Linked DNA regions of Astyanax mexicanus. The protein of the gene in region 1 purifies or fractionates together with the protein of each later gene. This does not show direct contact. Links are inferred from orthologs where the notes say so. Each region holds a gene or a part of one and is shown on either strand. Other genes may lie near its edges. The genes, in order: mlf1 and dnajb6a.

Region 1 (11,489 bases):
AGAGACCAGCACTGGCACGCATTAAGAAAACAATACAAAACATTTGTTTTAATGGGTTACACTGACTTCGGATCTGTGCGGTCTATGATACCATTAAGCGGAGCTCGGCCAAATCCAGACCCTAAGTAGATTACAAGTGATGTCAATGTTAGGAGGAGCACATGTAGGGAATTTAAATTTCGAGTCCATCACTGTACTTTGAATATGAATAGACAGTCTGAACTCAAGCCAGGCTTAGTGAATAAGCCTAATGAAGCATTCGCCGTTTGCTATAAGACAGACAGACTAACTTTATTTCCTGCCATAGAGGAAATTAGTTTTTCATTTCTCCATTTGTATATGCAAAACACACAGACACAAAAAATAATGAGTGTAATATGCACATTAATAACATACAGAATCATCTGTTGAGCAGGTCATCAATCCAGCAGCAACCAGCAGCTTGCAAGGAGACAGTTCCTACTTATAATATGTTTAAACATTAGTTGATAAAGAGCCACATAAAGAGTTAATAAATGTTAAGAAAGAGGCATTATACACTGATACGTCAAAATGTCATAGGAAAGGAATTAGTAACATGATCGATGACCGTTGCTACTATATGTCCCATGGTCCCAAGCTAAATACCGCTGCGTTGACCTGTTCGATTGAAATGTGTGCGGGACCTTCTGCTTTGAGTGTGGTTGTTATTTTTTTAAGCATTGACACTTCTAGCCAGACACAGCCAGTCACAATACATCATAGAAGGCATTACTTCCACCCACAGTGGACAGCACAGTGGATGGTAGTAATGCCTTCTATGATGTATTCCCAGTACACATGTGACATCGTCAGCTTGTAATGAGCACACTGGCCATGACAGATTTTACACCTCACTCACAAGATAACACCTCACAGCTTATACAGGTGTGGGCATTCAAGCCAACCCAAGCTGTCTTCTAAAGAAGCACTGCATGATCACTTTGCATACTGCTATCCCATGACTATTGGTAATATTAATGTAATGTCAATGTATACACCTTGTTTTTTTAGTGTATTGGGTTCAAAAACATCACTACCCACTGATCACTTTACTAGAATTTAAAGTTTTAATATTTTTACACATCAGTTTTTACATAAATTTGCTTAAAAATATTATTTTTAAATGCACTGTATGTCCAAATGACCTTCTACAGATTTTACAGCTGCATAATATTTTAAACACTCCGTAAAATCCACAATCACAGTAGCCTGATCTGAGCAGCCTCAAAACTATTAGTCTTTTGCAGAAAGAAATGCCTGAAAATCACTCAGTCTTGCTTATTATATTATATATTTTTGTTTGTCGCTAACTTTAACTTTCGTAAACCAGGTAATCTATTATTTTTGTTAATTTACACCAACAAATATTCTCAACATGATGCCCAAAATGTAATATTTCTCTGTATTAGAATACGAACAAAACAGCTCTAGTGAGCCATCTTGTGGTTGTTTTGTCGGTCTGCAGAGCCTTTTGGATTATCAAGAAAACACTGAACAGTCTCTGAGGTGTCTCCTCTCATGTTAAGTAAAATTATAAGATATATAAAATTTACATATCAGACTATCCAATCTTTTTCATGCAGCAGACCATTTGGTGGAAATGGGAAAAAATGAAACATTACTAAACCAAAAACCTGGCATTACTGTAAATCATACAATTAAAAGAATCAAACTAGTTAGTAACTGTAGCAAGTGAAAATACCATCTTTTTAAAGTGCTTTTTACTAACATTTTAATACTGTGGTTTGATCCACTGGACTGCAACTCTCCTAGTAGTTTATCATCATTATTAATGTCATAATCCATAGCTATAATAATAATAGTCATGTTCAAAATATGAATTTCATTGGAAAAATTAATTTCTACATTTAAAATGACAAATTAATTTGATCTGAAGTTAGACAGTGTAATGTAATATGCAGTTTTAAATTTGAACTTAACCAGAACATTAAATATTCTATAAACATATCATGTGAAATTATAGTTAAATGAACAATTTCTGCAACTGCTTAACTTGATTTATACACAGATTTACTAGTATAAATCAGTTCTGTTTAAAGGAGTGAAGCTCAGACAGAACTGATTCCACATCACCTGAGAGAAGAGAGATAAAGCTGAAGAATCAAACTGTTCACTGACCCTGTGATTCTCTTGCAGTTGTTCATAGACAAAGAAGAAGCAGAGAAGCTGTGGCTGAATCGACTGCTGTCTCTGCGTCAGGAGAGGCTGATGGGGAGTCCAGTTTCCTGACCACACCTTTCTAACCAGCATCTCGGACACATTCAACTTATTTTTTTTATACTCAGTAGACCCACATGCCTGTTGGAAATAGAAGAATAATTTGAAGGCTTTTTAAACTTTAGATTTTTTATTTTTGGATGTATAGTATAGTTGCAGCGACAGTATGTCAAACTAATGCTGCAAAATTATAGGAATCTGAAAGAATGTGACAACCACTGGAATGTGACTTTTAAAGTGAGGTGTTTTCAGTAAATTCTGATCAATGTAACAGATCAAAATATTATGACCCCATCTTTTTTTTTTTTTTTTTTATACTCATTGTCCATTTGATCGGCTCCACTGAGCATATAGGAGCATTGTGTAATTCTATAATAACAGACTCAGGACCACAGAGGACCACCACACCACACACTTCTGAGGTTTTTTAATTCTCCACCCTTACTAGTACAACACACACACTAACACATCACCATCATGCCACTGTGTGTCACTGCAGTGCTGAGAATAACCCACCACCCAAATAATAGCTGCTCTGTGTGGGTTTATCATGTGGGGTCCTGATAATTGAAAAAGAGGGTGAAAGGAGGATAATAATAAAGTATGCAAAGAAACCATGTCTACAGGCTGTATTTATTATAGTATTACTACATTTAAATTATCTGTATTACTACAAAGTGAAAAAAAAAAAAAACGGAAAATGAGTGTGGAAACAAGCAGATGATCATAATACTGTGATATGACGATGTATTCACATTTGTATTAATGTTTTGATGATTGATTAAAGGCAAAAAAAAGATCCACTTCACTGGGTTCTTGTTTTCTGTTGTTGTTGTTGTTGTTGTTATTATTATTACATGTTGATTTTTGTTGTTCTGTTTATTAAAATCTCATTACCTTACATTGTGATCAAATTCAAAACCAAATTATGTTTCAAATGGTGCAAAACTTTTATGATTTATAATTAATGTCACTTTACAGCCTAATGAATAGTGGCCCAACAGGAGAACCATATGTAAGTGAACACCTACATGTATTTTCCCTCATTTTATGCTATTAATGCTGTATTCCACAGCATTGTTGTGTTGTTTTATTGTTTTGAGTTTACTTTCTACAAAAATTAAATAAAATTGCTGTTTTAATGGTGTAATAATGTTTATACACTGTTTGTTTTTCTGTTTTCTGGAAGTCCTGTGTGATTAACTCTCAGGTCAGGGTCAGGGTAAAATCACAGAAGCCATTGAGATCAACGGGCTTCATGGTCAGCAGTGGAGACAGCAGTAGGCCTTGTGTAGGCCTTGGTCTGATGTCCAGCCTTGAGATCTATTTTCAGACAGTGTAGATGGACCTTCTGCAGCTCGGCTCTATTTGCGGAAATGTCCTGCTCCTGCCCTGGACATGTTGAGGTAAAGTCTATAAAGAAATTAGGTGTTAAGATTGTTAATGGCTGTTCTACAGAGGTCATGGTTGCTGCTAGGTGTGTGTATGTGTACGTGTGTGTGTGTACTTGCATGTGTGCTAGCTAACATATGGATTCCTATACATTATGTGTGTGTGCTCCTCTGCATGTTTACTAGATTATGTGTGATTGTATATTTACACAAGTGTACCCCCTATCAGTGTATGTGTGCCCACAAGCAGATGGTCAATCTTACAGCAGGCTGGCAGATGCCAGGGTGTCCAATAGCAGCAGCTCCCACTCCTGCCTGCTGGATGTTCTTACAGGCATCCTTCACACTTCCTTAAGTAGATATGATGACAACAGGACCTCTTCCACTGTTCATTTGGACAGTGTCTAAAATCAGCCCTAATTCTTCTTACAATAAGTGAAAAAAGTGGTCATTAAGTCAATTGGTAAGTTATCATTTACATTTTTATTGATTTAAATGTTCATTATATTTTGTACATTACATAATTATTTATAAACACAGAATATGTTTAGTACAATACAAAGAGGGCAAATAAATGCAGTTAGAATATACCAGAACTACACATAGTGCTGATGGAGTTTAAAAAATCCTCAGTGTCACTGCTGATCTGAGAATAGTGTGGACAACAACCTGTGAATTTACATCTACAAGGTAGCGCAGTTATAGGTAGGTGTGTCTAATTGCACAGATAGTGAGTGACACAGAGGTGTTTAAGAACTCCAGTAGCACTGTTGTGTCTGATACACTTGTAACCACACAACACACAATACTACCACATCAATACTATGCCACTGTGTGTCACTCCAGTGCTGTTGTGAATGAATAATAGCTGCTCTGTGGTGGTCTCTCCTGTGGGGTCCTGATTATAGAAAATCAGGATAAAATAAGGATGATAATAAAAATAATAAAGTAGATAAAGAAAAACAGATACAGGACAACAGTAATTATTGTAATTATGCTGTACAGTTACAAAGTGCTCCTATATGCTTAGTGGAGCTGAAAAATGGATAATGGGTTTAGGAACAAGGTCAAACTGTTATGCTTGATCGAAGTATGTATCAGTACTTATAATACTTATCAATACTTTATATGGACAAAAGTATTGGGACATTTGGTTGCATTAAACAAAAGGAGTATTGATAAGGACAGTTTGTTTGATAATGTACTCTTATCTTGTTTTTTTGTAGCGTTCTAGTGTTCTAGTATTAAGTACATCTACAGAGCTTTTTCACCACCTTCCTAAAATAATTATCATTTGCAAAATTGAATTTTTTGCCTGTGGTAAAATAGTTTATGCCCTCAGCTGTTTAGATCATTTGTTTTAACCCCTTTAGGATAATGGCCTATGTCAAGAGTGTGACTTAAGCTAATTCATTATGCCTAAGTCAGAATAAAATCTGACTCATTTTAATAGCTTTCCAAGATGACTACCTACCATCTATCTATATACCTATCTCTCTATCCATCTATTTATCTACCTGTCTACCATACATCTGTATACCTATCTGCCTATTCATATATTTAACTTTAGTTAAGTAATTTCCATGATTCAGGGCTTGTCCCAAATTGGTGATGAGATTTTTATTATAATGTAGTTTACGTCTCGTTAATAAAGGCTATAGGCCATACATATTGCATAGTTTAGTTTTTTATCATTATTATTGAGATGTTTAGTCTGCATTAGTCCATAGCCCATAAAGCTTTTATATACATTTACAAATATGTATTTTTACATAACCAAAAGTATATTTCTGGTTGCTTCTGCATTATTATACTGTTTTTATATACTTTAACTTAAAAACCATTACCACTTTTTTAATAGCCATAATAACTGTAATATGTTGGTGTTTCCTGAAATACGGTGAATATTTTAGTATTGTGTCGATATATAAAGGCAGAATATGTTTAAAATATATTGTTAATATAAAAGCTAACAAATGCTTATTTTTCAGTGTACAGTATGTGTTGTGTTAGTAAATGGGTGGGCAGACTTTAATCAGAACACGACTGGTTAGCATGATAATAATAATACGTTTATTTTAGCTCTATTTGCGTATATAAGTATTTAGACAGAAATTTCCAGACTTTTCTTTTTCTAGAAACCGCTTCTGTCTAGGACACGCGCTCCCATGATATCTGCGGGGGGCGGGGGGGGACACCTGTGCCAGCCAATCAGGAGCGCCAAAGCGGGTCACGTGGTTTTCTCAGCGGGCACGCGAGCGCTCTAATGTGTTTTAAGTTACGATGGAAACGGCATTAGAGCCTCTGCTGGAGAGAAGGACGAGTTAAGTTACTGCAGGACTAACTGGACTCAGGCACTGTCACTGTCTGATTTTACCTCATTAAACTGAATTAACCAGTTTATTTAGGCTCTACTGAACCTGTGGAAATGTTCAACAGCCTTCTCAGGGATTTTGACGAGGACCCTTTCTTCTCGTAAGTCTCTCAGTGTAACTGTCAGGTTTATTTTTGTGTCTGTCAGCTATCTCTCTCAGGCTCCCGTTATTAAAGTAACCTAGCTAACTAGATAAATGCTAAGCGAACTAGCTTAAATGTCTTACTACTATCTAACGTTAAATTAGCCAACTAACTGGTTTTGTCAAACATTTAACGCCAATTTAGGTTAGTTAACAAGTGTACGCTAGAGTTGGCTTAATTTCTCTGCTGTATAACCTAACTAAGTGAACTAAACTTTCTGTGCGTTATTTTAACTTTCTTTAAACATAAACTTGCGTTGTTGGCGTTCAAAAGTTACCTCAAACGGTGTGTCATTTAGCTAGCTAGGCCTCTTTTTTCAAGAATGTATTATCTAACTAACTTAATTAAACGTTAGCTAGTTTACTTGTAGCTAGATGTTTTTTTTTAGCATAAAGTATCAGATAACTAAAACAAATGTTTACCTGTTCCTTGGTATTCTGACCTTAAAGCTCTGAAAATAAGAGACCACTTAAAATTATGAGTTTCTTTGATTTTTACCCAATTAAAAACCTCTGGAATATAAACAAGAGGAAAATGGATGATCACAAGCCATCAAACCAAACTGAACTGCTTGAATTTTTGCACGAGGAGTGGCGTAAAGTTATCCAAAAGCAGTGTGTAAGACTGGTGGAGGAGAACTTGCCAAGATGCATAACGCCAGGGTTATTTTCCCAAGTGTTGGTTTCTGAAGTGTAAAATTGACTTGGGTTGTAGTGAAACATGATAATAAGTACAAACTTTAATCCAATAGCCCATCTCTGTTCATCCCCAGCATTCCAAAATACAGCTCTTTTAGCCGATGCTCCCAGCTGGCTAGTGGGACATAGCCATTGCAAAGAAATAACTATTTTTACACAATTAACAAGTTTAAAGTAGCTTCACACTTTTAAGGAGAATTCTGAGGGCCCTGAGAACTTTAAATGTGCAAAGTTTATTTAAAAAGACTGTTTATACACACAGTACCTTCAGGTAGTTCTCCAGACACTACCATCCTAAAATTTAAGTCATGGTGCATCCCCAGTTAAAATGTTACCATATAGTACTAATCGAAAGTTGACGTTTTTCTTTATTAAATGTATTTACTCATTGTAGAATAAATTACCCGCAGCAAAACAATTAAGGGACACATTTGGAATTATTTTAAACTTTTGATTCCTACCATATAGGGCTGCAGCTATCGATTATTTTAGTAATCGAGTACTCTACTGAAAAATCAATTCGATTAATCGAGTAATCGGATAAAACATATTTGTTTGCTTAAAGAGTAATTAAAAAACACAAGAAAAAAACAAGACATTTAACTTAATAATGAATGACCAATTGATTTCCTTTTTTAGATAAGTTATATTTTTAAATTTACAACATACATTTCCAAACGGCAAACACAAATAGAAATAAAGGGATAATAATAATTTAATTAATCAATAAAAAAGGCATAAACATTTGCATTATGTTGTGCATCTTAGCCTCTGAACAGCAGAGATGTTGCCAGTTCGTCTCACCAAGCCGGTGACTTGTATTAGTATAAAACTCCACAGCGCTGTATTCACTTACATAAAGCCTGTATTAAGTCCAAAATTGTCTGTTTGTTTTTTTAACTAACCGCACATTAGACAGTATTCCTAATAATCAGCGCTCCACAGCGCTGTCGTTATGTTATTAAGGTACATACATGTTAATCTCACTGATTAATTATAGGTTATATTAACATTCTATTGGCTCCACTGCTAACGTGTCCTCGGCTAAGACGGTGCAGCATTAAAAACGTGCTGTTGTGGGAAGCAGAGCGAATACACGCTGTCCAGCTTAAAAAAGCTGCATTATTATTGTCCTTTTTCCTCGTAAGTTGTTGCTCTGTCCCCCTGCAGCTTCAAAATACCCTCTTCTTAACTAAATCCACCGCTGCCTGCTCCTCCTTCCTGCGCGCGGGTGACGTAACTCTGAGCGCGCTGTCACATTAAAAGCACGAATTACCGCGCGCTGAGTTCAATTAAATAAACGATTACTCGAGGCACAGAAAATCACTCGATCATTTTTTTAAATCGAGTAACTCGAATAACTCGAGGAATCGTTTCACCCTTACTACCATACATCCTTCATATCCCCAGCATTGTGGTTCTGAACACGACAGAAAGGAGAGGCTTATAATCTCTGATTATACCTTTGCAGTTTTAGTTATATGATTATATGATATATTGCTTAAATACATGGTAGTTTGAGGTGACTTATCGCCCAGCAGTGTGAATGCTGGGTTAAACCCAACTGAGATGAGTGATTTGGGATGAGCTGGAGCTTCACATCATAGCGTGAGGGAAAAGCAGCAACTATTGTTCAGCACCTCCAGGAACTCCAAGATACTGAGAACTATTTCAACCTCATAAAGCCAATGAGAAAATACCAAGAGTGTGCAAATCTGTCCTTAAAGCTAAATGTGGCTAAAATACAAAACATGCTCAGTATGAAATTTACAATTTAAAAAAAAATAATAATTTTTGAATGAGAAAAGGTGTGTCCAAATTTGTGACTGGTGCTGTATATTCAGAAGTATCCACCGCTTGTTATTGTTGGTTACTGTAACTTAGTAAACATTAAGTTGTAGCCATAGCCAACACCGGTGTTTAGTTGCACACATACAGCTTGTGTCTTTCTAAAGCAACCAAACTTGATCCTAAGACAGCCTTGCCATCCCCCCCATAGATTGGCACAAATCTCACTGGACTGTGTAACAGTGGAACTCTCTGGAGTTCTTAATCACCACAGTTCAGTTCCTTTGGATTGATTTAAATTGGAACTTGTGATCCAGAGCTAGCCGATGGGTTAAATTAATCAATAAATAAATCAATAAATAGGACAGCTCTTTATTAATACTGTAATTTCAGTAGAACACAGGCATCTACAAACCTTTCTTTGGACCTGTGAGTCTGACCTGACACACCACAATGGCTGTATTATTTATGTACTTGTAATTGTCAGATTTTGCACCTATATGCAAAGTAACTTTGGCCTGCTACTGAGTGGAGAGGGCTATTTAGAGTGTTGGTGTGTGTGTTGCTTTAATGGTGGCTTTGTATGTTTGGCAGCGCTTTAGTCATCAGAGATAAATAGCCTACTTGTTGATCAAACTGTTGTGGTAAATAAAAATTGGGCTGCGAAGTGAAACCAAGATAGAGATGAATAAGCAGATAGGTATATAGATTGTTAGTAGATAGGTGTGGGTATATTAATAAATGGATAGACAGATGGTTATATAGATAGGTATAGGTAGGTAAATAGATGGATAGATAGATGTGTATATAAATAGGTATAGGTGAGTGAATAGATGGATAGACAAAGGGGTATATAGGTAAATGGGTTTAGGTAATTAAATAGATGGATAGACAGATGGTATATAGATAGATGGTAGATAGGTATAGGTTGGTAAATAGATGAACAGTTGGGTAGATATATTTGACATTGAGCTATAAAAGTATGTATAAATGCATGATAAAGTGCCAGTATAAAAGCATAAGAATAAACAGTGTAAGCTCATTGGAAATAACAGGCAGCGTGAAGCCTCAGTAAAATTGGTTAATTATCCCGTATGTTGATTCACTTGCTCAAAACCTGCTTTTCCTTTCCTCTTTCTCTCTCTTTCCTATTCTTTTAGCTCAAACAGGTAGGCTTTCCTTTATTCCTTCTTGTCAATCTCCTATACTTAATTCATCATGAACAAAGGTCTGATTGGCGTTTTCTGGTCTCTCTCTCTGTCTGATAGTGATCCATTCCAGGCCCACAATGAGCACATACGACAAATGATGAGGAGCTTCTCGGATCCCTTTGGCCACAGCTTTATGCCCAGTATCACAGATGGACGGGACAGGGGACGAAGGCGAGAGTCCCATCCTGGCAACAGCGTAGCCATCCATAATGACCACAGAGTAAGTACTGAAAACTAAGCTAACATGGGAATTCCATCAATTTTCAAATGATTGTATAATTAAATCATTTAGATGGCTATTGTTCACTCCACCAGTCCATACAATTATAAATATATAAATATATAAATATTTGTGGACAATAGATTTCAAAAACAACCCATTTAAAAAAAGTCTAATTTTAAAGTCTGGAGAACCAGGTATTTAGCATCTTTCTACCTGTTTAGCTTACCACAGTTTAGTGCCACACAATAAAATCACAGTTTAAATCAGGAGGTTTTTTGTTTTTTAAAGCTCTGAGTGATTTCTGTTAGTAAAGTTTAAAGTAGCAAGAAATTAATTACAACCATATTTGGATCGTAAAATAATAGAAAGCGCAAAAAAAATGTAATATGGGCCAATTTTAATATATTTAGCAACTCAAGTTCTTTACAGGGCTATTGATGGGAACCAAGGGACGTAATGCGTGCAACACAAATATAGCCATTTAGTTTGCATTTTAAAATGCTCAGTTAATCCTCACCTGTCTTCGGAGTTTGATATGTAATGTTAATCATGGTGGAACAGTGACAGAATTCATTTTATAGTCAATAATTTTATATTAATGTGTCCAAGTCATCTAGCTATCTATGTCTTCAGTCTCAGGGGGATTTATTTGGCCGTGTGTATTTTCATGAAACAGAACCTGGCTTTGACATTGTTAGCCTATCAAAACACGTTGACCCCTACAGCGTTTGTACACTTGGCTCACCCTCTAAACAGACTGTTTTAGTCTGTATACTTGCAATTCCCATAGTTAGGACATTGAATCCAATACCTTAGTCCAGTTCTTCAGCTTATGCTGACCCACATAGTCTCTGTCCTCTTGGCCGGTGAGTAAAATGACCTGAACATGTGTTCAACGTCCAGCATCGTCTCCTTTCAGCACACAACAGTAGTTAAAATAACATCAATAAAAGTCCAGCAAAGGGAGTGTACTGAGTTCATGATGGGGAAACTGCCATGCTTGTGTAAACCAGGGCAGCTCTTTACTGGCAACATAGTTCCAGGCATATTGAACACTGGGGAGAGAGAAGAGGGGTGAAGAGAAGGGCTGATGAAGGAGAAGTCCCTATCACCCCTCAAGGAGCTATGTTTAGCCCTAAGGGTATTTTTAGAGGGCTGGACAGCATTGTTCCACTGACACACTGCTTTCTCACTCAAACGCACTAAAGACTCTCTTGGGGACTCAGCTGATAGGACTGTTGACACGTAGGCTCAAAAGAAACTTTTTTTTTTGTTACATTGGCTGGCAGATCAAGTTTGGCTCATTAAATAAGCAAGTAGAAATATGCTTTGAATGTGAGGAAATGTATGCTCATTTTGTTTTATAACATTGACATTTTTTTATAAATATGCTCCCTAATAC
Region 2 (11,770 bases), about 8.3 Mb from region 1:
TGCAAGTGAGTTTCTGAAATTGTTAGGAGTCCAAAACAGCTGGATAGTTTTCTGCCCCACCCGCTCTTCCACAGATGCAAAGCTCATGTCGGTTGCCAAATTGACACATAATGGCAAACAACAATGTGTTTTACTCTGTAGCTAATCAGTGAAAATATACAGTTGAATGTCTGGTGGTGATAAATATGGTTAGCAATATTACTGAAACTCAGTGATTACCTGTTCAGCAGAAAAATAGACCGCTTGCCCATTTCCATGGCTAATGCTGTCTATACCTGGCAAACCTGAGTGTGGAAATGGGGCTGGAGGAATGGCGGTGGGCAGAATGAGAGGCTAAATTCCAAACAGACTTCCGTGGCGGAATGCACAGTTCAAAAAATAAAATACTGTCTGAAGCTCTGCTGTCCCAAGCTGCCAGTGCTTAAACTCAGCATGTTTCCTGATGAGAATATCTGATGAGACATCCTGATCCTGTTATAAGTTACTGCAGAAAACATAATGCTAAGGTTTCTTTAACTATAAACAGTGATGTGGAAAAGCATGTTTTTTTCTGATAAGTTAAACACAAAACATAAACTGAAATTGTGACTATAGTGCATAAAAACTTCATTTTTACATTTGACTTACCAAAGAAATCAGCAAAGGGATCTTGACCACCAAAGAACTCTCTGAAAACGTCCTCTGGATTGCGGAATGTAAATCCTTCAAAGGGATCACCGTTATGATAATGTCCTCCTATACAGCAGAGAGAAACAGAGAGAAAATGAAACACAAGCATGTCTGCTAGTTCTACTTAATGATAAACATTACAGGAAATCTACAGTATTATTTTACAGCTGAGCCAAGAGAATCAATGCAATGCTGTGCCAGTACAATTGAACCGTTTCAGACCAATATTATAAAAACTAAATACAGAAACACAAGTTTTTTTTTTATGTAATATTGTTATAATCAATTAAAAATATAGTTAACTTAAGATATTAACATACCTCCACTCCTTCCTGATAAGCCTTCTTTACCATACCGATCATAAAGACTTCGCTTATCGGCTGTAGAACAAAAAAGAAAAAGATTAAAAGGCATTTTAAAATGACAAAATGATTTTTTTTTAACAAAAAAAAAAAAAGAAAGAAAAGACATCGCTGTAACACGATGCAACAATATTTGACTCATGCACAGAAAATCAAAGAACTGACACCCACTGTTTAAGACCACCATTAGTTCCCGCTGCTTTAGCTCAGTGCTTACCGTCCCTAGTCCTGGGGACATACCGCAATTCATTTTTTACTATAGTGGTGAGCAGATACACTTCTTTTTAGTTCCAATCCGAGTCTAATAAACAAAAGCAGATACCAATACTAATTCTAATACAAGCGCTTGTCTCATTTTTATATATTCTATTATATTGTTGTGCTTAAGGTCACATCATGAGGGTAGGCTAAAACAGAGCACACAGCATGTACACATTGGCAAACATATATGTAAATACATGTAATCAGTAACTTGTTGCTGAGTATAATATAAAATTGGCTACTTCTCTGTAATCCCTTTATTATTTGGGTCGACTGCTAAAGTTTTTTAGAAAGCGTGATTGAGTGGTTGTCTCAGATGAACTCCCAGAAGATGCTGATTAAATGGGTTAATTAATTGACAGCCGTACCTCCAACCCTCTTTACTGTGGCTTTACTGTATTGATTTTCAGCATTTTCAGACTAAAATATCTCCAAAAAAAAAAAACATTTTACTTAAACCAACAGCTAAGGTACAGTAAACTACTGAACAGGAATCTGGATTGGTGATGTGCCTGTGTTAACTCTAAGGCTCGTAAATGGTCAAGCACAAACTGTGGGCTGGAATCTGGATCAGTAATAAAACGATTGTGTTTATTTTAACCACAATCCCTTAATTATGTCAATATGAGCCCCGAGATTGATCAGTAAAGGGTTGTTAAGGTTGATCTGGTTGGATTTGTTGGACCAGGTGCATTGAAAGCAGGGAAGCACTATAAATGTGTAGAGCAGTGTGCCAAATACTGGTTCTGGTAGCTTAGTGTTTCTCATCCCTGGTCCTGGAGGCAACCTTCCTGCATATTTTATTAGATCAGACACAAGCTCTTTAAGTGTTGCAGTGCTGTATCAGAGCAGTAAACTCACAAAAATGTGCAGGTAAGTACCAAAGATTCTCCTGTAACTTGCAAAATGCAACAACAATTGTAAAACTGCATACACAGCTAATGATTAATAAGGGTTAGTTTAAAACTACAAACTCTCTAACAGTCCATAAATCTTCTTAAAAGCTATGGCATTCGTGTGTATTTTTAAACAAAAAATTATCCATCATAAAACTACATCAAATATTGAAATTTAAGATTGCATGGACAAAAATACCATAACTGAATAAAATGTGTTAGGATTTTTGACCTTGCAAGTATGGTTAGATCAATAAAACTGTGCCCAGTCCTGAACTGAAAAAACCTACAGGCACAGCTGGTCTCCTTTTACATTCATTGATATTAGACATATTGATGCTTCACAATTAACACAATTAACCATATCTTACCATCTGAAAGGACTTCATAAGCTTCAGAGATCTCTTTAAACTTTTTCTCAGCCTCGTCCTTGTTGTCTGGGTTCTTATCTGGATGCCATTTTAGAGCTAGTTTTCTGTACCTACAATTAAACAGAATAAAAAAAACACAATTACAACCAAGCCCAAAAGTTCAGTTCTTAAGTCACTAAAGACAGGAAATACCACAATAATGTTTAGTTTCAGTTTTTTATTCTCTTACTTGTTCTGTTTCTATTATCTGGTAAAAAGACACTTACGCTTTCTTTATGTCTTCTGGAGACGAAGTCTTCTGCACTCCTAAAATCTGGTAATACTCCACCATGGCTTTACACGTACCTTCTGATCAAGCTTTGATGACCTAAAATGAAATACAAACATTTAAATTGATGTGTCTCAATAAAGAAAACAAGGAATGAAGCATACAGTACAGGAAACACCAAAGAAAAACTAAAATGAATTTTAAAAAAGCAAACATCTTCAGAGACATTTAAAATTAATGAAAAAATAAACCTGATAAATAGAACAAGGTGACTAAAAACTAAAATGAGAAGTGGTCATAAATAATTGTTTTTTTCTTAAGCAAACAATCGTTACAACATTATTTTAAAACAGGGAAATTTGAAATTCTGTACATACTGAATTCGGTCAAAATAACAAAAGAAAATGTAGGTAGGCATGGCGAAATAACGTGCCCTTTTTACACACATTCTCAACAATAAGCATGGCTGTCAGCCTCTGGAAATCAAGCATGACAGCATCTGAGAGTGGCGAAGACAAAACTGAAACCTCGTGTGAAGTATTACTCTTTTGCATATACAAGTCAGTTTAAGAGTATTAACTATTCAGAAAGATGTGTCAGATATACAGTGGCATGAAAAAAAGTATTTGCCCCATACAGATTTTTTTCTTTGTTATACTTAGGTTTTTTTTTTGTTTTGTTTTTTAAAGGGGGTAAATGCTTGGTGGGGATACCTGATAATTAAACTCTGTGGAGGAATTTTTGGTCTTGCTTCAGAACCCAAGCATGCCTGAACTTAAGGCAACAAACTATTGCCCGGATAGTCTCCTTCATTTTTTTTATAGAGAGCAGAATTAATGTTTCTATTACAGCAAGTTGTCCAGGTCCTGAAGCAGCAAAGCAGCCCCAAACCATCACACTACCACCACCACACTTGGCTTTGAGTACTTTTTTCTCAACGAGTTGTGTCCCAAATGTAATGGAACACACATCTTCCAAAGAGTTCCACTTTTGTCTTATTAGTCCACATAATATTTTCCCAAATTCCTGAGGATTATCAAGATGCTTGTTGGCAAATGTGAGATGAGCCTTTATATAGCCAATATGCTGTTCATACCTGGTTACTCTGTGTGTTATGAGTATATTATGAGTATTATATCTGGATAAGGCCAAGCCACACAAATCTGACCACTGAAGGAGGTGGTTTGAGATGCATTTAAGCCACATCCATCTCTTCAAGACACACTCAACAACCCTAATTGACTAATAATTGCAGTGTAACAAACTATTTTGCGTAGGCTATCATACACAGCATTCAGATTGGACATGCTTTTGACAACCACGTGTAAACAGGTGGTTAAATCCCTTCAGGGTACAATCTAGACAGGGTCTACGATTTTCAGCACCTCCTAATCTTCAGATGCTGAATCTGTAACATATCTGAGCCATTACCACACACACTCAGTAATTAGAAACAGAAAAGTAATCTCACAGTTTTGAAAAGAAGTCTATGTGCTTGCTGAGTTGGTGAATTTTGTAATTTTAAAACTAGTAATTTCAGTCTAATAACACAGATGTTAGGTCGGACAAAGAAAATGTGTATGACAGTTGCCAAGCCTGGTTAAATGGAGCACTGTTCTGAAAAAAAGAAGTTCTCTCTTTTAGTATGAATATGAACATTAACCCATAATAACGCAGTAATATATCAAGTTATCATTACATTTGTTATTTTGTTTTGCAATACTGTATCAATGGTCAACACAAACACAGTATTGGTGTCTCAAGACAGTGGTTTATTTCGTGTTGTGTTGTCCTTAAACCTGCCCAACTAGATGACAGTGTTGTAGTCTGTTTTTAGATACCACTATTCTGATTGGATAAGAAGCAACTTTTTCTTTTACCCAGATTCTATAAATCCATAAACTAGGAGAGTTTTCCTAAAATTAGATTTAAACAATGATAATATATCATCTTGTTTACAGTAGTACAATACAATCTGAACTATTAAATGAAAACACTAGTTTTCATTAAATTTTCATCCACAACCAGTGCTGTGTTGTGAAACTACTAACTCTGGTTGCTAAATGCCTTATAGTTAATAAAGTATCTAATCTATTTATCTGCCTGTCTGTCTGTTAGCTAGCTACCTAGCTAAGTATCTATCAACACAGCCCTAGCTACAGAGCTCACAGGAGATTCACGGGTGGATGAATTTCTTATTTTATAGCTCTATCCAAACAATAATGCGCTCACAGAATGTGTTTTATGCTTATTTACGAACACACACCCACTGACCACATGTAAAATACACGGAATTACTGTTTAGCTAATTAGCTACAGAGCGAAAACACAGACTGCATCGTTAGTTATGCTATGCTAGTAGGCTAGCTATAATATCATCGCTATGCAGCATTAGCCAGTTAGCGTTAGCTAAGGTAAGCTAGCTAGCTAGCTTCCTTCTCGCCCCACCAAACAGGCGAATTTTTATGTAAACAGCTTTAAAAACGGACCTTCCCGGTATAATGTTCACACCGTGACATACCTTTCTGACTGCCCGCGGCAGGTACAGGCCTCTGCGAGCGGCGCTTCTTTGAGTATATCCTTTTAAACCCGCTTGTTTTTCAGATGTACTTCTTAATACAACGAAACACCGCCTCTACACTGCCTCTGCGCATGCGCGCTGTGTCCGATTATGTAGCTGATTAACCTGCTGCTGGTTTATGGCGCAACGTCCTGTAAGGATCCGGCTGTGTCCCAAATCTCACATTCCTACTTCAAACAACATTCCGGTATGATTGAGAAATGTTTATACACACTTTTATATTGATCATAACCATACTACACTTTTATACTGTACTACAGGCTGTGTTCAGTAAGTACACGCATTACTGAAGTACGTGAAGTGGAGAAGTGTGTGTATTGGGACACATCCTGTACAAAAAGCAAACTGATTGAAATCCTAAGTGAAAATAATTGAGTAAATCTCCTACAAGAAACATACAAACAGTATACGTTATACGTAGCCTTAAAACAAAACTGTGTATCTGCTGAATTTAATTAATATACATAACATAAACAATGTCGTAACTAAAACATGTATGCGCTAAACTATAGTTGCATTAAAAATAATATATTTAAGTAATTATATATATATATATTTAAAATCTGTGGAAATGAGTTCTCTATATGAACTTTTCTTTCATGTATTTACACATTTACACATTTTCACCCTTACATATTTATTTTAATCCTCCTATTTCTGAAACGTTGATGTAAGGGTTTGTAAGTTAAGGTAAAGGGCTCCCTCTGTTGGTTCTGCACAATCCTGCATCATCATATACACACCTATTCATTTCCAAGCCTTAGAGGAATCATATCTCCGATGATAATACGATGAGAATGCATAAGATAATATAATATAACATATAACATAATAACATTGCCATGAGCTTGCTGGCCAGTGTTAAGCCTAACTCACAAGATAACACCTCACAACTTGAGATAACACTTCATGATCAATTTACAAACTGCTATCCCATGACTTTCAGCATGTCAGTGTATACCCAGCCTAATTTTGTCATACTTACTGAAATTCTCATTTTATAAAGAGAGTCCTACACTTTTGAAGGGGCACAAAACCCCTTGATTTTTGCTGACTCCGGCCTCAGCTCAAATTTGAAAATGGGAAAAAAATGGGAGGGGTAGATTGGGCGAGGCACTGGGTGATGTATGGGTTTAGAGGAAGGAGAGCTGATTGGCTAAGTTGCAGTAGCAGCAGTGTGAGACTCAGCTAGTTTGATATCAGCGTGGGGGTGGTATTATTGATGGATTGATCTGCATATTGTGATGTGTCTGCGTACCAAAAATACACAGACACATCATCCTCATCTATAGCACAGTTCAAACTGTGGGGGCAATGCAGAGGCGGAAATGATTACAATGAAAATGTTTTTTAAAGTTTAGGAAATGTTTAAAAAAATAAGCAGGACTGGTATATTTTATTACTTCATAGAAACACAATTCAGATATTAATGGAAAAAATATGGGTTAGGGTTTAGTAGTGGCTCTTTAAAGGACAGTGTAGCCCTACTCTTTAAAATACAGTACAGAAACAGACACATTAAAGGAATACAAAACTCTAGCCACTGACAATGACTGAATGGAATTTGCCGGAAATCAAGATGTTAAAAAACCCATTTAGCGCAAGATTTTAGAGATCTGGTTCAGTTAAAGAAGAGTGGAGGAAACAGGTGCTGCTTTTCTGCTCAAAGGTTCATCTGTGTCTAGTTACGCTGGGTTGTAAAACAGCTCAACAGCAAGTGCTTTGTCCCTGAACACGCTCATGCTTTACACAGTCCAGATGCTGCGGCTGATTCAAGCAGCAGCACAGGTTCAGTCCTTATCACCATGAGAGGTTATTTCTCCACAGGAAACAATAAAGGAAGTCTATTTCTGGGCAAAACAAAGCTTCATTACTATTGTAGCAAACTTCATTTAGCTAGCTGCATTTAAACATAAGATAAGCTTTTTTTTTTGCATTTTACAGTTATACAATATTGTAAACTAGTAATATATTACTATATTGTGTGAAAATAATACAATTTACAAAATTCCAACACTGTAGAACATATAGTGAATTATTATGAATAAATAAAACAGATATTAAATAAAACGAAATAAAACCTTTTTTGCCAATAAATCCGTCTTTACCTTTCAGAAATTTAGCAATATGTGAGTTATTAACAAATTTTAAAATTGTACACTGCACATATAAGGAAATTAAGTTGAAAACTTTTATAAACTTTTTAATGTGACTCAGACAGATATATCCACTTTCACATTAACAAAATGGGGGAAAAATGTGTTTATTCACTTTTATTGTTACTTTTTATTAACCCTCTATGGCATGGATTATATTTTATATTTTGGGAAGAATAAAAATCACACCACTATTTGAGAGATCTTTTTACATAATTGCTTATTTTGATTATTTGAATCCCCTTGTGAAAAGGAACTAAACTTAAGAGCATAAAAAAATGTTCAAATTAGATAAAGAATACTAAAAGTGCATTATCAATATAATATTAAAAAAAAAATACAACATAAAATATACTTTCTCTGTATTTCCATCAAATTTATTTTTTGAGAAATGCTTTAAATCATATCTGGTGTTGATAGAATATATATATGGTGGCATTAAATACTGCTTAAAGTGCACTTTAGTGTATTTTCCCCCCAGTAGCATTAAGGTGTACACAATATGTGCATCAATATCAAGTGTATTAAAAAAAGTGTTTAAAAACACATACTTGAATCTACGTTAGCACTCAGAAGCACAATTTAATGCTTTTGCATTGTGTTTAAATATAGTGTAATTACAATTGAAGTATCTTTAATTTGCCATACATTGTTCTAAAATAGTACATTTAATATGCACTTAAGTACATATTTTAATTTTAAAAAATCATGTACTTTTTCATGTATGTTTAGTATACCTTAAAATATATACTTGAAGACACTTTTATTTTACCACTGCTTTATCATCATAGCTATAAAAAAGGGATCTACATAATGTTTCCCAAAGAAGCAAATGAAAAACCTTGTTTTAGTACAACAAGAATGTAAGAATATAGTATGAATATAAACAGCCAATTACTATTCTTTAAATATCATTGAACATACACATATTTTTATTTATGACCCACTTGTATGTATCATTGTATTGGACGCAGATATGCCGCAGATTTGCCTTAGGGTAACATCATGCCATACAGGGCTAGTTAATATTAGCTTACTAACATGCACATATTTTGTCTGATTCTTGACCAAAAAGTACATATTAAAACACATAAGCGAGTCTATTTGACATTATACAACACAACACATTAATTATTGAGCCATGCAGTTTGTATGATGCTAATCAGTGTACACAATTAGCCATTATCTGGTAGCTAACAACATTAGCCTTATAAAGCCAGTGTAAAATTAGAGAAAGCTAACTTCAGACAACAAAACACAACCAACCAACATTTGAGACAAGTTTGTGTGCACTGTCTATCAGATTCGAACCACATGTTGCTTTAATACATAGAATATACAGCTATAGAACTGCAGATGAAGGAAGCTAGCCTTTGGCTTTCAGCACGTACTGTCGCACAGCTACAGCTGCTTAGGGAAGCCCATCTGTGCTCTTTTTATTTTGTGGTGTTTTGTGGTGTGTTACTCAGCGCTGTGTTTTTATTTAGTGGAAGCTGTTCCTGTGACTGATCATTCGTCCATAAAAACTTAAAAAGAGAGGGAGTCAAAAAGCGTAGACTGCTGCTTCATGTTAACTACACATCCAGGTAGCATGGGCACGTAAAAAAGATGAAAGCAAGGCTAAAGCAGACATAATTAGTTTTTACGAAAACAGACCCAATGTTTATAAAATTGACAAAGTGTTAATGTTTAAAATGTTTAAAACTACAGCATTCAATCTTTAAATTACTCTACACTTGTATTACTAGAGTTGTTCACAGTGCCTCAATTAAATAAAGCACAAAGTCTAAAAACAATACTGAAATTACACATATAAAATGTTTAAATGTAATCACATCCTGTATACTGTATATATACTGTATAATATGTTGCTGAAATACTTCGCTCTTTTAATGGTATAGAAAAAAAAATAAGAGAACACTTAAAAATGACGAGTTTCTTTGATATTACCAAATTGAAAACCTCTGGACTATAATCAAGAGAAATTATTATGAATGGATTATCACAAGCCATCAAACCATGCTGAACTGCTTCAATTCTTGCACCAGGAGTGGCATAAAGTTATCCAAAAGCAGTGTGTAGGACTGGTGGAGGATAACATGCCAAGATGCATGAAAAGATGCACCAAATACTGATTTCTGAACCCATAAATCTTTATGAATTTGAACTTGTTTTTCTTGTTTTCTGCAAATAAATGTTTTAAATGACAATATGTTTATTTGGCATTTGGCAGAAATTTTGTTCATAGTTTATATAATAAAACAACAATGTTCATTTTACTCAAACATATGCCTATAAATAGCAAAATCAGAGAAACTGATTTAGAAACAGAGCTAAATTTAAACCCCTTAATGTAATATGTTTAGATACAAGTCAGTAGACCAATATATTGCATTTCTGAACTGAACTGGTACGTAAGAGGATGCCAGTGGTATATTGCCCACTTCTTGCTTTGTGATTATGGTACTTTTGACTTGGTGCTTAGGCCTTCTGCATGAATAAAAAGGAAAAACACACAGATGTGCAACAGAGAACAAAGCAAGCCAGATGTTCCTGAGAAAAGAGAACTGCAGGGGGAGGACATCAGAAGGTTTTTTCGTGCTTTACTCACATTGGCAATGCAATACAGGAAATAGGAGTCGCTAGTACTTGACTAGCACAGTGCAGTAAGAAGTGTAGCAGCCAGATGAACGTAGCTCAGCATTATAACAATGCTAATTATTATTCGGAGTATGGAGCAATTCTAAAAAGGATGGTTAAGTCAACAAAAAAGGATTTTTTGACTTGGTCAGCAGTGCCACACAGAATGCCCCTTTATGGATCTTCAAGTATCCTTGGGCATCTCTAACTGTCATTTTAGGCATCTCCAAGTTTCTTCAACTATCCTTTTGGGGATCTCTATGTGTCCATTTGAGCATTTTCAGGTATCCACTTATGCTGTAATAAGAAATGACATTTAATGTGGGGCTCCTGTAAGATGTGCAGGTTGGTGTGTTTTTTGGGGTGCTACCTGCCAATATGTGATTCTTCAAGTATCTTTTTGGGATTTTTTAAGTGTCATTTTGGACATATCCAAGTATTCCTTTTTGCATGTCTGTTCAGGAATCTCCACGTGTGAATTTTGACATCGCCAAGTGCTTAAATTCTCCTTTTGAGTGTTTCAAAGCATCTTTTTGATCATGTCCAAATGTAAATTTTGGGGGCTTCCATTTGTCCTTTTGGGCATCCCCAGGTGCTCTGAATTTCCCTTAGTAGATTACCGTGTGTCCTTTTGGTAATCTCCAAGTGTCCTTTTAAGCGTCTGCAAGTGTCCTTTTTGGCATCTCCAAGTGTACTTTTGGTCGTCTCCAAGTGTCATTTCTGGCATATCTCAGTGTCATTTTTGTGCATCTCCAAGTGTCCTTTTGGGAATCTCCAAATGTCATTTTGGACATATCCAGGGTCATTTTGGGCACCTCCAAGTGTCATTTCTGGTATCTCTCTTTGTGCTTTTGGGCATCTCCAAGTGTCATTTTTGGCATCTCCAAGTGTCATTTTTGGCATCTCCAACTGTTATTTTGGGCATCTCCAAGTGTCATTTTTGGCATCTCAAAGTGTAATTTTGGGCATCTCCAAGTATCATTTTGGGCATCTCCAAATGTCATTTTGGGCATCTCCAAGTGTCATTTTGGGAATCTTTAGGGTCCTTTTGGAGATTTCCAAGTGTTATTTTTGGCATCACCAAGTATCCTTTTGGGCATCTCCAAATGTCATTTTGGGCATCTCCAGCTTCCTTTCGGAGATCTCCAAGTGTCATTTTGGGCATCTCCAGGGTCCTTTTGGAGATTTCCAAGTGTTATTTTTGGCATCACCAAGTATCCTTTTGGGCATCTCCAAATGTCATTTTGGGCATCTCCAGCTTCCTTTCGGAGATCTCCAAGTGTCATTTTGGGCATCTCCAGCTTCCTTTCGGAAATCTCCAAGTGTCATTTTGGGCATCTCCAGGCTCCTTTTGGAGATCTCCAAGTGTTCTTTTGGACATCTCCAAGTGTCCTTTTGGGCATCTCCAAGTGTCATTTTTGGCATCTCCAACTGTAATTTTGGGCATCTCCAAGTGTCATTTTGGGCTTCTACAAGTGTTATTTTTGGCATCACCAAGTGTCCTTTTGGGCATCTCCAAGTGTAATTTTTGGTATCTCTAAGTGTCATTTTGGGCATCTCCAAGTG

The links.
Region 2: the proteins of mlf1 (region 1) and dnajb6a purify together in Homo sapiens (affinity purification with mass spectrometry; 3 studies listed by BioGRID and IntAct, counting the BioPlex papers as one, with this or other methods). This does not show direct contact. The link is inferred for Astyanax mexicanus from reciprocal best matches to the Homo sapiens genes MLF1 and DNAJB6.

The regions. Positions count from the first base shown.
Region 1 is NC_064411.1:42,830,889-42,842,377, reverse strand, and holds the start of mlf1 (myeloid leukemia factor 1), read left to right. Parts: upstream 1-5,930; 5' UTR 5,931-6,078; coding exon 6,079-6,125; intron 6,126-9,921; coding exon 9,922-10,084; intron 10,085-11,489. Other genes in the region: rsrc1 (serine/Arginine-related protein 53), read left to right, coding at 2,179-2,271. UniProt on the Homo sapiens protein: Involved in lineage commitment of primary hemopoietic progenitors by restricting erythroid formation and enhancing myeloid formation.
Region 2 is NC_064411.1:34,552,623-34,564,392, forward strand, and holds the start of dnajb6a (dnaJ homolog subfamily B member 6a), read right to left. Parts: upstream 5,500-11,770; 5' UTR 5,349-5,499; intron 2,927-5,348; 5' UTR 2,891-2,926; coding exon 2,826-2,890; intron 2,670-2,825; coding exon 2,560-2,669; intron 1,050-2,559; coding exon 990-1,049; intron 736-989; coding exon 628-735; intron 1-627. UniProt on the Homo sapiens protein: Has a stimulatory effect on the ATPase activity of HSP70 in a dose-dependent and time-dependent manner and hence acts as a co-chaperone of HSP70. Plays an indispensable role in the organization of KRT8/KRT18 filaments.